2 linked regions of the Pelodiscus sinensis genome follow. The protein of the gene in region 1 interacts with the protein of each later gene in a pairwise test. Links are inferred from orthologs where the notes say so. Each region holds a gene or a part of one and is shown on either strand. Other genes may lie near its edges.

What was found. The genes of interacting proteins can lie anywhere in the genome.
Region 2: the proteins of DMC1 (region 1) and KCTD17 interact in binary tests that used the Homo sapiens proteins (3 or more experiments, as listed by UniProt). The two-hybrid records come from large-scale screens. The link is inferred for Pelodiscus sinensis from reciprocal best matches to the Homo sapiens genes DMC1 and KCTD17.

Annotation. Positions count from the first base shown.
Region 1 is NC_134711.1:91,668,479-91,676,100, forward strand, and holds the start of DMC1 (meiotic recombination protein DMC1/LIM15 homolog), read left to right. Parts: upstream 1-4,593; 5' UTR 4,594-5,137; intron 5,138-5,784; exon of another isoform or gene 5,785-5,990; intron 5,991-7,622. UniProt on the Homo sapiens protein: Participates in meiotic recombination, specifically in homologous strand assimilation, which is required for the resolution of meiotic double-strand breaks.
Region 2 is NC_134711.1:92,999,125-93,006,316, forward strand, and holds the start of KCTD17 (BTB/POZ domain-containing protein KCTD17), read right to left. Parts: upstream 3,004-7,192; 5' UTR 1,792-3,003; coding exon 1,576-1,791; intron 1-1,575. Other genes in the region: MPST (3-mercaptopyruvate sulfurtransferase), read right to left, coding at 6,671-6,969. UniProt on the Homo sapiens protein: Substrate-adapter for CUL3-RING ubiquitin ligase complexes which mediates the ubiquitination and subsequent proteasomal degradation of TCHP, a protein involved in ciliogenesis down-regulation.

The sequences.
Region 1 (7,622 bases):
AGGTCCTGGATTTCAGTCTCTTTCCTAGCAACCTAAATTTGGCCTCCAGGACATTTCTCCTACCTTTCCCTACGTCATTGGTACCTACATGTACCACGACCACCGGCTCCTCCCCAGCACTACACATAAGTCTATCTAGATGCCTCGAGAGATCCGCAACCTTCGCACCAGGCAGGCAAGTGACCATACGGTTCTCCTGGTCATCACAAACCCATCTATCTATGTTTCTAATGATTGAATCACCCACTACTAACACCTGCCTCTTCCTAACAACTGACATTCCCTCCCCCTCAGAGGTATCCTCAGTGCGAGAGGATGCCGCAACACCCTCTGGAAGTAGGGTCCCAACTATGGGATGGTTTCCCTCTGTTTCCACGGAATGCTCTGTTCCCTTGAGACTTTCATCCTCTTTAAGAGCACTGGGGCTCTCAACCTGGGACAGTACTACAGTGGGACAGTACTACAGTGTCCCGGAAAGTCTCATCAACATATCTCTCTATGGAAAGCTCTCAGTAACAGAATAGGAAGGTTATGAAAACAAATGTGAGGAGGAAGCAGCTGAATAAAATGGGAGATGAAATGCTGTCTAATTGAAAAATGAATGGAATAAATTAGATTGGTCTTAAAACACAAATATTTTTCTACTAGATAATGTGAGTACTTGGGGAGCAATGCCAGGAGGGAGGTTCAGCCTTTTCCATCTCTGTTCCCACTAATGAAGATCCTCTGCTATTTTAATTCTAACTTCCCTGACATAAAGCTGACCTTAAATATCCTATGCTATTGTAGTCCTGAGCCTCCATCTCCCGCCCATCTACACACAGCTTTATCAGTTCATCTCAGTCCTAACTTATCTATGATGTCTTTGTTGCTTTACCAAAAGACAAGATTTTTTTTCTTTTACATTTCAAATTACTGAGTCCACTCCAACCTATGCAGATGTGATCCAACAAGGTTTTAATCATATCCGCCAGTTGGACAAAGCTTTCAAAACAGTGTACCAGAGACACCGCAGAGAAATAAAGGATTTTGACCAGCACCAGTTGAAAGAGAAGCAAGAATTCCTCAGGTACAAAAAATGTGTGTGGTTTCAATTTAACATATTCTGTAATAATCTGAACACATCCAGTGATTTATTGGTGTCTGCCAAAGGTGAAACCTATTGCCTGACATTGATTTCAGAGGGTGTTGGGGAATAAGGAAATATGGGGATATTTTTGTGGTGTAACATTAGCTAATTATTCCAGAGGGATACAGAGATGTAATGTGATGTTTTACTGATGATGCTTTAGATGGAATCTGTGAGCTAATGGTCAACCAAAGGAGTTTGAGAGTATTGTTTTGTTTTGGAAAAGTGATCTTGAATTTTGTTGAGGGTAACAGGGTGATTAAGGGCACGTCTACATTGCAGGGCAAAAGCTGAATTAAGATACGCAACTTCAGCTACATCAATTGCGTAGCTGAAGTCAAAATAGCTTAATTCAGCTTTTGGCGCTATCTACACAACAGGAAGTTGAAGGAAGAACACTCTTCTTTTGACTTCCCTTATTCCTCATGAAATGAGGGTTACAGAAGTCAGAGTAAGAAGTCCACCATCTCGAAATAATTTCAATATAACGGCTTGCTGTGTAGACATGTACTTTATTTCAAAATAACACCTGTTGTTTCAAAATAATGCTGCAGTGTAGACATGCCCTAAGAAAGTTGGCTTGGAGGGGGCATTACATGTTTATGGATTTGGGGATTCAAGGGTTAATTAACATCAATTCCAAAGTGGTGGAGAAATCCACTCTTAAAATTTCTTTGATTGCTTTGGTGATTTTAGAAATCTTAGTCAAAGATAGCTTTGAACAAGTTATTTTGATTTTTTCTCTCTCGTTGTCCTTCCCATACTACAGAAAAGAGAAGCAATTGCTGTCAGAGAAAGGAGAGATGAAGAAGCTGAATCAAATGCTGACCCCTCTTCAGTTCTGACAAGACTTCAAGTCTGTCACAGAAGTGTCTTTATGCAGAAACAGCCATAAATCAAGCTGCACTCTGAGCAAACCAGAATTCAAGATTCCCCGACCATAAATTGGCATAAATGTCCATTCAGACTTTCATTTGCATCTGAAGGGTGTATTTTAGGCAGCCCACTCCAAAGCTTTCTTCATCAATTAGAACAGACAAACCTGAAAAAATGGGAAGAACTGAGTTCAAAAGTCTGACTGATTTCTAATCTCTTTGATCTGTAAAACTGGACTGGAAAAATATCACAAGATTTCAACAATAGAAGTAATATGAGGATTAAAAAAAGTCACTGGAATATTTTTAATGGTTTCATAGTTTGGTTCTGTGTCAAAGATTTGAGCTGTTTTTTATTTTGTCTGAACTGTCTTGGCCCAAGCTGAAAGGCAGTGTAGTTGAGACTCAGTGCATCGCCTCTTGCCAACAATATGTGGTAATGGAGTTGGGCTGGCTAGCTGCAGACCTTCCCAGAAAGGAGGAAAGTTGCAGAAGGCTCCTCTGTGCTGGTGAACCCTGCAATGAATCCAATCCTGTGTCGAGTTTCCAGTGTATAAAATAGAATCCCACTCATTAGTGGTATGAGATTGTATAGCACTTTACAGCTTTGAAGTTCAAGTGCTGTAGATCAACATTATCATTTTAGCAGCACTTTTGGATGAATGGTAGCCTTTCCAGCTTGGTCAACTCATCTGCCTCCTAGAAGAGCCTGTCTATAAACAGGAAAAACAGGGCAAGGTTTGTCTTTTGGGTTTTTTGTTTTTAAATGGGAGGCTAAAGCTAAGCCTTGTCTACACAGGAAAAATATCATCTTTATTGGCATAATTTAGCTATTCCAGAATAATTCCTCCCCACACTATTGGTGCTACGTCTACACTGGCCCCTTTTCCGAAAGGGGCATGCTAATTTTCAACTTCAGAATAGGGAAATCCGCGGGGAATTTAAATATCCCCCGCGGGATTTAAATAAAGATGTCCGCCGCTTTTTTCCGGCTTGGGGAAAAGGCGGAAAAAAGCGTCTAGACTGGCCCGATCCGCCGGAATGAAGCCCTTTTCCGGAGGATCTCTTATTCCTACTTCGAAGTAGGAATAAGAGATCCTCCGGAAAAGGGATTTATTCTGGCGGATCGGGCCAGTCTGGACGCTTTTTTCCGCCTTTTCCCCAAGCCGGAAAAAAGCGGCGGACATCTTTATTTAAATCCCGCGGGGGATATTTAAATCCCCCGCGGATTTCCCTATTCTGAAGTTGAAAATTAGCATGCCCCTTTCGGAAAAGGGGCCAGTGTAGACGTAGCCTTGCAGAATAAAAGTGAACTTTTATTCTGGAATAATGTCCAGATGGGGAATATCTTATTCCATCTGGAAACAACAAACTGCAGCCAATGGGAGCTGCAAGGCTATGGACATGTAAAGTAAACAAAGCTGTGCAGTCCTGCCTCCCAAGTTTAGAAAATGCTGTCTTATTCCATAAAAGCTATGTAAAGCAATTCCCCCTCCCGCCGCCCAGGGTCTTAGGCTCCTAAACCCACATTCAGGTACCTAAATACATGGCTTGATTTTTCAAAAGTGCTGAGCACTCTCACACTCCCATTTAGGAAGATTACAATTTGCTTTTTCCATGTTTCATTTTCTGACATAGCAAATAACAGACATGCTTAAATATACCTCTGCACTATTGGGGACTGAGTTTGGGATTTTTCAAAAGTGCCTTGAAAGTTATTAGGATTTGTCCTGCTTCCACTCAAGTGGCTTCAAAAATCTTATCATAACTAAAGTCAGCAGCTTTGTTATACAGCCATTCCTTTTCTATAGGGATAGGGATATATGTTATGAAAATACTAGAAGGCTGCCCTGGCATTTCTTGGGTCCTTAACTCAATTAATTTGTTTTTTGAAAAATAATATGGTGGGATGATGGATGAGGGGTTCAATATGCAGGTTGAACTGGGGAGAGAGAACTACCCCAGTCTTCTCTCAGCACAGTAGCTTGGGGTCAGACAAGAAGCGCCTCTCTAGGGCTGCTGCAGCTCCAGCGGGCACAGCCGAGGGATGGGTGCATTTCCCCTGGCTGAGCTAGGTCTAGGTTCATCTGCCTCTTGTGTTTCCTAGCCAGAGTGAGGAGAGCAGCAAACTGTATACTTTCCCTGGAAGAAAAGCAAGCAATGTTCCTGTACAAATTGGGGGGGGGGGATAAAGATCCCACCCACACTAAAGGGTGGCTTGGGGGTGGGGCAGTCTCTGGGGGGTGTGCCCCCTGCTAACTAGCCACTTTCACCTGCCTGGTGCCTCCTTCCCACCCCAGGGCCAGCAGCTGCTCTCAACCCAGCGAGAGCCAGTCAGGGCCGGGGACAGCAAGTGATGGAGAGGGCGGGGCCTCGGGGAAGGGGCGGGGCAGATCTTGGGTGTAAAAAGATTGGAGACCACTGAGAACGCTTCAGTCAGTCTCTGTCCCTCCCGCCCGACTCTACCATTCTGGGCTGTGGAAGGGGGGGGGGAGGTCCGACACCGGATACCGATTCATAGCTTGAAACTCTGTCAGGGCCGCTGTACACGGATCGTTCCATTCGTGAGCAGCATCCGGCCGGGCGGGTGTATTTTAACCCAGGCCCTCAAACAGACCAGCGTTCTCCCGGCTCCCTGCCTTCCCCTCTTCCCCAGTGGTAGAATCCAACCTCTTTCTTCCCGGTGGTAGGGTCCCTTCGTAAACAGCTGTGGACGTCGCCGCTGTCGGTGACCACTGCGCGTGCGCGAGGCAGCGTTGTCGTGTCAGAGACTGAACTCCGGGTGCGCGCGCTCCCGGGCAATCGCAGACCTTCGCCTCAGCCACTTTTGGCGGGAAAGGGAGACGCGTTTATCCCCGGCCCGTCTGCAACGAACCGCCAGTAACGGCCGGGCGGGGCAGGTGATCTGAGACTGCGAGGCAGAGAGCGGCCAGTTCAGCTAGCGTCGGATCCAGCCCGACCTCGCTGCGCCTGGCCAGAGCCCGCGTGCCCCACACAGAGAAATAGCGCTACGGCCCCTGGGCTTGAACAGGAGATCGGCCTAGCAAGGGGGCCTGGTCTAGTTAGGTTAACCTGGCCCCCGCTGTACTGACAGCTAATTTTTCCATCCACATAGCGCCTGCCTCCTGGAGAGGTGGATTAAATACAGCAACGGGGAAACCTGCTCCTAACATAGGAAGCGGCTGTATTTCACCCTCGCTGTAATGGCGCGGTTGCTGTGCTGCAGGTGTTCCCTGACAACACGTAGGATTTATTATCCTGGAGGTGTGGAACTAAATATAAAGGGGCAATTACTCTGGTTAAGACTGGAGCACAACAGAAAAGATTCACACTTTTCCCTTGTCAAGACACTCCCACCCCTCCTCTCCCAACCCCACGTTCTCTCTCAACCTTCATTTCCCATCCTCACACCTTGCTCCATATTGCTCTGTGTGCTTGGGGCCCTTATCTCAGTGTGCCAGGGAACAATAATGCATGCCACACTTGTAAAAACAAAATACAGGACTATGTAGCACTTTAAAGACTAACAAGATGGTTTATTAGATGATGAGCTTTCGTGGGCCAGACCCACTTCCTTAGATCAAATAGTGGAAGAAAATAGTCACAACCATATATATCAAAGGATACAATTAAAAAAAATGAACACATATGAAAAGGACAAATCAAATTTCAGAACAGAAGAGGGTTCTGAAATTTGATTTGTCCTTTTCATATGTGTTCATTTTTTTTAATTGTATCCTTTGGTATATATGGTTGTGACTATTTTCTTCCACTATTTGATCTGAGGAAGTGGGTCTGGCCCACGAAAGCTCATCATCTAATAAACCATCTTGTTAGTCTTTAAAGTGCTACATAGTCCTGTATTTTGTTTCAGCTACACCAGACTAACACAGCTACATTTCTATCACTATTGTAAGGACAAAACATTCTTCAAGATCAGTTCGTCTTCTGGGTGCCTTTGTGCCTGATTTTTGGAGTTGGTCTGTGTAAGTTTTTGGGTATAACTCCAAGGTGGCTGGGGGGCAGAACCACATTACTATAGCAGAAGCACTGAAAGAAAAGGGCAGTGTTTCTACTTCTTCACTTCTGAACAGGGTGCATTATAATTCCCCCTACATTCCTTGCTGGCCAGCAGAAAGATACAGTTATGGCTCTTCTTACTCTGCCAATTTTGCATTGCTATGTATCCAAAGGGGAGTAGTCACCTTGCCCTTTTGAATGCAAGTAATGCAGTGCATTTCAAAAACAAGTAGACCTGTGGTACTTTAGGATATGTCTACACAGTAACATGTATCTTGAAATAAGCTACACAATTTGAGCTATGCAAATTGTGTAGCTTATTTCAAAATAGCTTATTTTGAAATTTGGTGCTGTCTACACAGCACTAATTTAAAAATAAATTGCTATGCCTGTATCTTCGTTAATCCTTATGCAATAAGGTTTATAGGAAGCTGGAATAAGAAACACATTATTTCAAATGAATTTCCAGATAGCAGGCATGCTGTTAAGACATGCAGAACGCTAGTTTGGGATAATGGACATTATTCCAAAATAGTGCCATTGTGTAGACATACCCTTAGGCTATGTCTACACTCGCGGCTTCTTGTGTGAGTAATATGCAAATGAGGCTAAGCGTGGAATATCGCTGAGCCTCATTTGCATACCTAATGAGCCACCTTTTTTTCAGAAGAGGCTCTTGCGCAAGAAGGAGCATCTACACTGCACCTTCTTGCGCAAGAAAAACCTTCTGGCACAATGCCGTTACACCTGTTACTTTTTAGGAAGAACGGCCTTGCGCAAGAAGGTGCAGTGTAGACGCTCCTTCTTGCGCAAGAGCCTCTTCTGAAAAAAATGGTGGCTCATTAGGTATGCAAATGAGGCTCAGCGATATTCCACGCTTAGCCTCATTTGCATATTACTCACACAAGAAGCCGTGAGTGTAGACATAGCCCTAGAGACTAACTATAGAATCATGAGCTTCTTCAAATGAGCTGGAGTAGAAATAACATAAACCAAGATATATAACAAAAAAAACCAAAAAAGTACTGGTCAATTGTAGGACTGGTGCTAATTAGGCTAATGAAATGGACTGGAAGTGTCCCATTCTTAGCCTTTGATGTAAAAATGCAGTTGTTAAAGGCAGAGGAGACTGGCTTTAACATGCAACGCATTTCAAGACAGGGAAGGGATTTATTTTTAGAAAGTGCAGAGAGGGGTTTTTAACATGTCCTTTGCCTTTTACATTATGTTTTTCTTCTTCTAGTATCTGAAGACAAAGGTCTAATTAATGTTACTTCAGGAAACACTTTACCGTTTGTTAGTAGTATGTTAAAGGAAAATGTATACAGATGACTACATTTTCATCCCTGTTCAGGTGTGATGAGAGGATAGTTTCATTTGTCCATAGGAAAGAAGTTCATTGTGGTACCATATGGAGATGTTTTGGGAAAAATTAATTTACAACTCATTTTAATATTTTATTAGAAAGTAAGATAAGTTACTCCATTTTATTTTTACTTCCAAAGAACTACCTCTAAAATTACACCAGGTTTTTTTTCCCTTATTTTTTCCCATCTTCTCTAACCAGCAAGACTCACCGGGTCACATCACTCCTTCCT
Region 2 (7,192 bases), about 1.3 Mb from region 1:
ACTTAAATTTCAAAGCAAAGTAAATTTGATCCAAAGCTCAGAATTATTTTCATTTTGAAAATGTCAAAATGAGACATTTCAGCAGTTCCAAAACTCCCTCCCTACCTCCAAAAACCCCCAGGAAATTTGTCAAAACTGACCCCTTTCCCAGGAACAATTTTGATTTTGACAAACTGGCATTTTCTAAGGAAAAAACATTTTATCAAAAAATTCCTAACCTGATTTGAGAGCTACAGGTTAAAAGTAGCATACAAGAGCTAACTTTGGATCCCAAAGCACTTCCCAAACTGCATTCATATGGCACCACAGAAAAGCAGCCATCTCTGGGGTGGATGGCTGCAGCCAACCGGCACATATTACACTACAAAACAGCAGGGAGAAGAGGAATGTTAAACCAATCTCTAATTAAAAGTGTGCTGGGATTGTTAACATTCAGGCAGAACTTTTTTGTTATAGGTCTCCATCCTAATATGCATGCTGAACAACTGCACAGTATTTTCAGTGCATCTCCCTTGAAAGAGCAAATGGCTGAATTGATCCTGCTGAGGCCTTAGGTCCTTGGTATTTCACCCCTGAAATGAAGATCCCTAACCCTTTCCTGTACAGTAACTCCTACTTAACATTGTCCTGGTGAACATTGTTCCGTTGCTTATCTATGAGAACACATTCTCATTTAAAGTAGTGCAATGCTCCTTTATAATGTCATTTGTCCGCCTGCTTTGTCCATTACTTGTAGGATTTCCTGGAAAAGCAGCCTGTCCTTTGGGGGCAGGGAGTTGGAAACAGGGAGGGCTGGCAGCCCCCCATCAGCTTCCCTAAATTCCCTGAAAGGTACAGTATATACTATTCTATACGGTTACCAGGGAGATCCCAGAATAAAAAGATACCATGTGGAGTCTCAGCTCAGGGCTCCTACCACTTCAGCCTGTATTGGGAGGAGGAGAATGGGAGAAGCGCTGTGTGTAAGCTGCGAAGCTTATCTGTCACCAAAAGAAGCTGGTGCAATAAAAACATACCTCGTTCACCTTCTCTCTCTTTTATGGGAGGCTAGTAATCATGGCCCCATACAGTAAAGCACAGACTTGAGTCCTATGTAGCTGTGGGGGGCTAGGGCACGTGGGAGAAGAGGGGGCATTTCTTGTGGGGCTGGTGCAGTGTCCCAGACAGCTGATGGGGAAGCAGGGGTTAGGCTGAGCCACACACTATCGGGGGAGGGAAGGTGGCAGGCCTGTTTGGTCCCCACTATTAAGCCAGAAACAACTCCCCTTCCACAGAGGGGTCCGGTCCAAAACCCCCGGGGGCTCTGCACAGCTGGAAAGCAGGGGGCGCGCTCGCCGGGGGAGAGGGGAGGTGTTTTAACGAGGGGTCTCTCTTCCATTGCCCTGGGCCGGTGCGCGCCGTCCATCAGCCTGTCTCTCCAGCCCGCTCCCTCCTGATACTGCCCGGGGACCCTTCACCTTCCTCCGCCTGGATCTGCTCCTCCCAGCCGGGCCTGCGCTGTTGTCCGCCCCCCACACACACGCAGGGTCGGCGCTCCCCGGGCGGAGGGAGAGCAGGCACCGGCTCCCCGCTTACCCGGTCTGACTGCAGCTCCTCCCCCTGGCACAAGCGGCAGAGGAAAGATTTCTGCTCCCGGCACAGGGTCTGCCTGGTGGTGAGGAAAACCGTGCCCCCGACATTGAGCCGCACCCACTTAGCCCGGCTGCCGTCCGCGGGCTGCGGCGGGGGGCTCTCCCAGGTGTACGACACCCGCTCTGCAGCCTGCGCTTCCTCCCCGCCTTCCATCCTCATCGCTCCCTCTCTCTGCCCAGGGCCCCCCGCTGGAGACGCCACTGCAGGTGTTGGGCACTGGAGGATTCTGGGATCTGAAGTTTATCCGGTGCCTTCCACCTCGGAGTTGGCTGCTTGTCCCTTGTGCTCAGTGCGGGCAGCGATGGGATCTCTGGGGAAGGAAGATTGTGGACAATGACATTACACTGAGCCCATCCCTAGTCTGCTTTTACTAGAGATGGGCTCAAGCCGCAAAAGCCAGCTCCTCGTGCTGAACTCCCTCCCCACAGTTCCAGGGATGCCAGGATGATAGGCTTGCCTTAGATTCATTCTCTGGGCACTGCTATTCAGTTGACAGCCGTAGAGTACTTTGAAGCAATAGGTAAAGGCTATTAATATTAATCACCACATTGTATCATCTCTGCCATTGGTCACCCAAGAATCCTGGGAGCTGTAGTTTTGCATAGCTCACTGTCTCTGCAGCCCCAGGTCATTTTTGGCACCAGCAGATGCCAGGAGGATTAGCACTAATGCTGGTGGCGGTGGATATGAGAGGATTTTGGAAGGTGCAGCTTATACACCAGCTCTGGGTAGTGCAGACAGTGTTGCTTTGGGTTGAGGAAAAATCCTGCACATGGGCACAGAACAGTTGGGGCTAACACTTCCAATGCTGAACCAGACAGATCTGGTTCCTGTTCTCCTTTTACACCGCATCATAGCCTTCACTTCTCTGATAGTGCAGCAAGGTGCTCATGGAAGGTTCAGACCATTTCTTTCTTTGAGACTACATGGATGCCCCTGGAGGTAGCAGACCAGTGGCCAACATCAAATCCCTGGCTTCTTGAAAGGTATCTACTGTAATAATCACTTATGACTTCTAACCCCCACCTGTACTAAACCTGCCTCTTTCCTGGATGTGCTTCTCTAGATCCATTCAGTCCCAGGCTTTTCCCCTATGCCCACCCCATCCAGGGGATTAATTCATTCAAACAGCACCTGCCTCTCTCTCTTCTAAATGCCCTGCTCTGGGGGGTGGTTTTGAGAAGGAAGAGAGAAGTCAAGTTGCACATAACCCCGGGCTAGGTGAAACACAAAAGCTTTATCTATGCATCCAATTATGCTTCTACCTCACCCAGAGGTCACCTGACATATTAATGGCCATCCATATCTGACAGAACAATGTTAGTAGCTTCTCTCCCTAAAGGCTGACATTGGCCCAGAGTGACTCTCCCGCCAAAAAAAAAAAAAAAAAAAAAAAAAAAAAAAAAGCAAGCAAGCACACTTGACCATTTTTGGCCAGGGTAATAGCCATAAAGTGCAGCACTGAAGTATAAAAATTTGAATAGGTACATGTCTATTAACCTTTCAGGGGGTTTTTCCTGGGTCATCCTCATTCCACCTTTTTTATCCCATTGTCTGGTGCAATTCAGTCCTTTTACTACATAAAAGGGTCATAAAGGCAACAGATTTCTCCCCAGATGTTACCCAGCCTAAAGGAATTCCCTGGAAAACACATCCTTTCCCCCCACTGGCAGGAATTTGCTGGTCAGGTCACCAGGGTCCTCTCACTTCAGCCCTTTATTTTGCTTGGATATTTTGATATCACAGAACCTGCTTTTCTGTACACATGGTACTTGTGGATGGTCCAGACCATGTTCTTCTCGTAGCTTGCCAGCTCGCTGAGGAAGTCTGTGATCCTTGCATTGGGGCTCTCCTGGGCCATCTTCCACTTACTCACAATAGCCTCACTCCCAGCTCTGCAGGCCCAGGGCAAGAGGACAACAGGGGCAACAATGCAACTTCTGCTTCCGAAGAATGGGGAAGAACTAGTCTCAGACTCCTGCCTCTGTTCTGCCCCCACGTCTTCCCATTGGTCAAAAATGGCTGACTGCCTAGCTGAGCTGGGCTTTTTGGTCACCAGCTTACTGGTCGCTAGGGTTGCCCATCTCCAGGCCATTGTCCAGGGGTCCTGGTTGCTAGGCCAAGTCAAACCTGGGCCTCCTTAACAAACCGTCTCCCACCAGCTTGTTCCACACAGCACACAGGGAAACTGAGGCACGCATAAGATTCATGTAAAACACTGCAAAGATCCCCAACTTTATTACACCAGAATACATCACACCTCTTACAGGCCCCAGTGTACAGGGTCTGCTGGAGGGGTGGGAAGGGGATAGCATAGCTGGAATATACCCTCTAGCTATTTTCAGCTGTTAATTAGCCTCTAGGCCAGCAGTTTTCAACCAGGGACTGAGGTACCCATGGGGGCCTCAAACAGGTTTTAGGAGGGTCCACCAAGCAGGGCCAGTGGTAGACTCATTGGGGCCCAGGGCAGAAAGCTGAGCCCCACCACCTGGGGCTGAAGCCAAAGTCTGAGCAATTTTTGCTTCATTACCATGTAGTTGCACTCTTGCTAGCCCCAAGCACTGGCCCTGGATTTTATAAGCAGAAAACCAGTTGTTGAGGCCATGGAGCTTTTACAGCATTTTTGGGAGAACCCCCATCTTAGCCCACCACTGCAGCAGAGTGTAGGTGCAGGAGCAAGCTGGGGATATGGGTCTGGGGGCACCTACCTGGCACAACTCCTGGGGTGGGGGAGATTACAAGTATCTCCACACAGATCCTCATGCTCCCTGCAGGCACCACCTTCCCCATCTCTCTCTACCCCTTCTTCCCACCCCCGTTGCTCCCAGTGGCCATGATTCCCAGTCAACGGGAGCGACAGGAGATGGTGCCTGCAAGAATCACTTCCTTGAATCATGGGGAGCCATGAGGCACTGCTTCCTTCCCCCCTGCCAGGCAGAGTCCGTGAGCCCAATCAGGTCTGCATCTTGCCTTGATTGGGCCCACGACGTTCAGGTCTCCTCCCCACCCCCCAGCAACAGTGAGAGTCAGCTGGTGCTCAAGCCACAGCCTCCTCCCACAGTGGGAGAAGAGGGAGGGCAAGCAAGGCAAGCCACAGGCTTAGGCTCCCTGCTACTCTAGACCAGAGGTAGTTCTCAAATGGTGGATCAGGACCCAAATTGGGTCATGACTCCATTTTCAAATGATCATCAGGAAGGATGCAAAGTGTTAACCGATTACCCAGTAAGCATGCCCCTGGCACACTTGCCTGGGTACCCGGTCAACCGGCAGGGGGCTGCTCCAGCCGTGACACTCAATGATGGGTTTAGCCAGCCCGCCCAGGCCTGTTAACTGGTTAACCTAACCAGGATTCTACATCCCTAGTTGCCAGGGTTAGCATTAGACTTGCTGGGCCCTGGAGTCAAAGCCAAAGTCCCATCTCTCAGGCAAGGCTCAGGTTACAGGCCTCCCACCTGAGGCCGAAGCCCTTTGTCTTCATCTTTGGCCCCTTCTCTCCCCATCTATGGCAGGGGGGCTCAGGTTGGGGCCCCTGCTCCTAGTAATTTTCATTGTCAGAAGTTTGAGAAACCCAGGTCTAGGGTAAGTCTATATTCATAGCATGAGGGGTGCTGTCAGCTCTAGTGCCCAGACCTGGACTACCATAAGAACGAAGTCATCATAGGAGGAAGGGCAAATTGTAAACATGTAACTCACCATTTGTAATGCATCCCAGCTGCTCACTGAGAATTAATCAGAAGTCAAACACCCACACATACACTTCTCTCTTCAGAGTAATCTAGGATAAAGGGTGCTATGACCAACAGGAACCTTCCTTTAATCAAACTTACTGATGGCAATGTGCTTGTACAGCTGTAACCAAGAGATTAATTCAGTTTTGGAACACACTGAATCAAATACCTCGACATTATTTGCTGGGGCAATTTTCAGCTTCAAGACCTTCAGTAGTAGCCTTGAGAAAATGTCTGCCTTTAGGGGTAGCTCATCCCTAGGACAAGGTACTGAAGCACAAAACTAGTTTTAAGCATGGGCACAGTCCTGTGCAAGTCAGTGGAAGTACCTGAAGAAGAGCTCTGTATAAGTTAGTCTCTCTTGCCAAGGGAAACGGATCCAATAAAAGCTATTACCTTGCCCACCTTGTTTCTAATAATCTGGGACCAACATGGCTACAATGCTGTCTACAGCATACAGTGTCATGCTGAATTGGAGCAGAGCAGCTGAAAGTCACACAACTGCATGCTTGTTATTGGCTGCAGGACATGAACAGACTTAGACAAACAGAGACGTATGCTGTCCCTTTCTTATTGGAGTTACAGGGCTCCCCAGGGGAAACTGAATATACCTACCACGGATGAAGCACACACTAAACTCACCTCATTACAACAGCTTTCTGCACCCCCCTGCTACCACAACTACTGGTTTTAGCACACTATCTTAATCACAGCTAGCGTGGCCATGTCTACCTGAGCCAGAAATTCCACCCGCAGCTGGGCTAACAGTCCCCAGGGAGGGGGACAGAGCAAGATGCCTCTGATCTGTACTGTCCCAGGCTCAGTACAGGAGAAGACCTTTAAACATATTAAAAAGTGTTTTTATTACATAATCTTTGAAATATATTCTTAAAAAAGGAAACAGGATTACAATGGTGGATGCAATACTGGCTGAGGTCAAATCCAATAAGAGTCCGCGTGCGAGGAGATACTCAAAAAGCTCCTCTACTCATATTCCTCACACAGTGTCTAATCAGGAGAGATCATCCCCATGGAGAAATCCAGCCTCAATTAATTATCCCACCATCCTATGATCAGTGCTTCCCCACCCCACCCTTCCACGAAGATGGTATAAAAAGCCATCTTCCATGCCCAGAAAAATTAGTGGGGGGAGGGAAAGGGTAAGGCGTTAGAACCATTTATGTTTAGATTTGTCACCCAAGACCTTCACTCAGTAGCACACTATGATTTTAAAACAGGAAAGGCTAAGACCATCTCCCAGAGCTTGTTTCAAGGCAATTTGTCTGTACTGAAGGGGCAGAAGCAGTGCTTCAGAGGGTCTTGCCTTTGCCCTCAGAGATGACTTCTCCAGGCCGTGCACGCATGTACCACTCCACCCAGGCACCATCATAGATAGCCACCTCTGGCTTGCCACAAAGGTAGGCTCCCAAGGCCACGTGGCAGGCAGTGACTCCCGAGCCACATGTGGCTACCACTGGCTTTGAAAGGTCCACTTTCTTCTCCTGGAATAAGCTGCGGATCGCCTGAGGAGTCTTCTCAAAGCCAGCTTCTGTGAGAAAATCCAAGAAGGGGATGTTCACGGAGCCAGGGATATGACCAGGCTCAATTCCTGGAGGAAAAGAAAGGGACCAATGCAGACAAATTAATCTTTACATCGTGGAGGGTCCCACCCCTTCCTGAAAACACACTCTCTCACTCCCCCCTCCCTCTACACTAGGGGTCTCAAACTCAATTTACCTTGGGGCCAGTGCCAGTCCTCAAATCTTCCTAGTGGTCCAATGGGCACCCCGCTCTGGTAGGACTCCAGGGAGAGGGCCAGGTGTCTCTGGGTG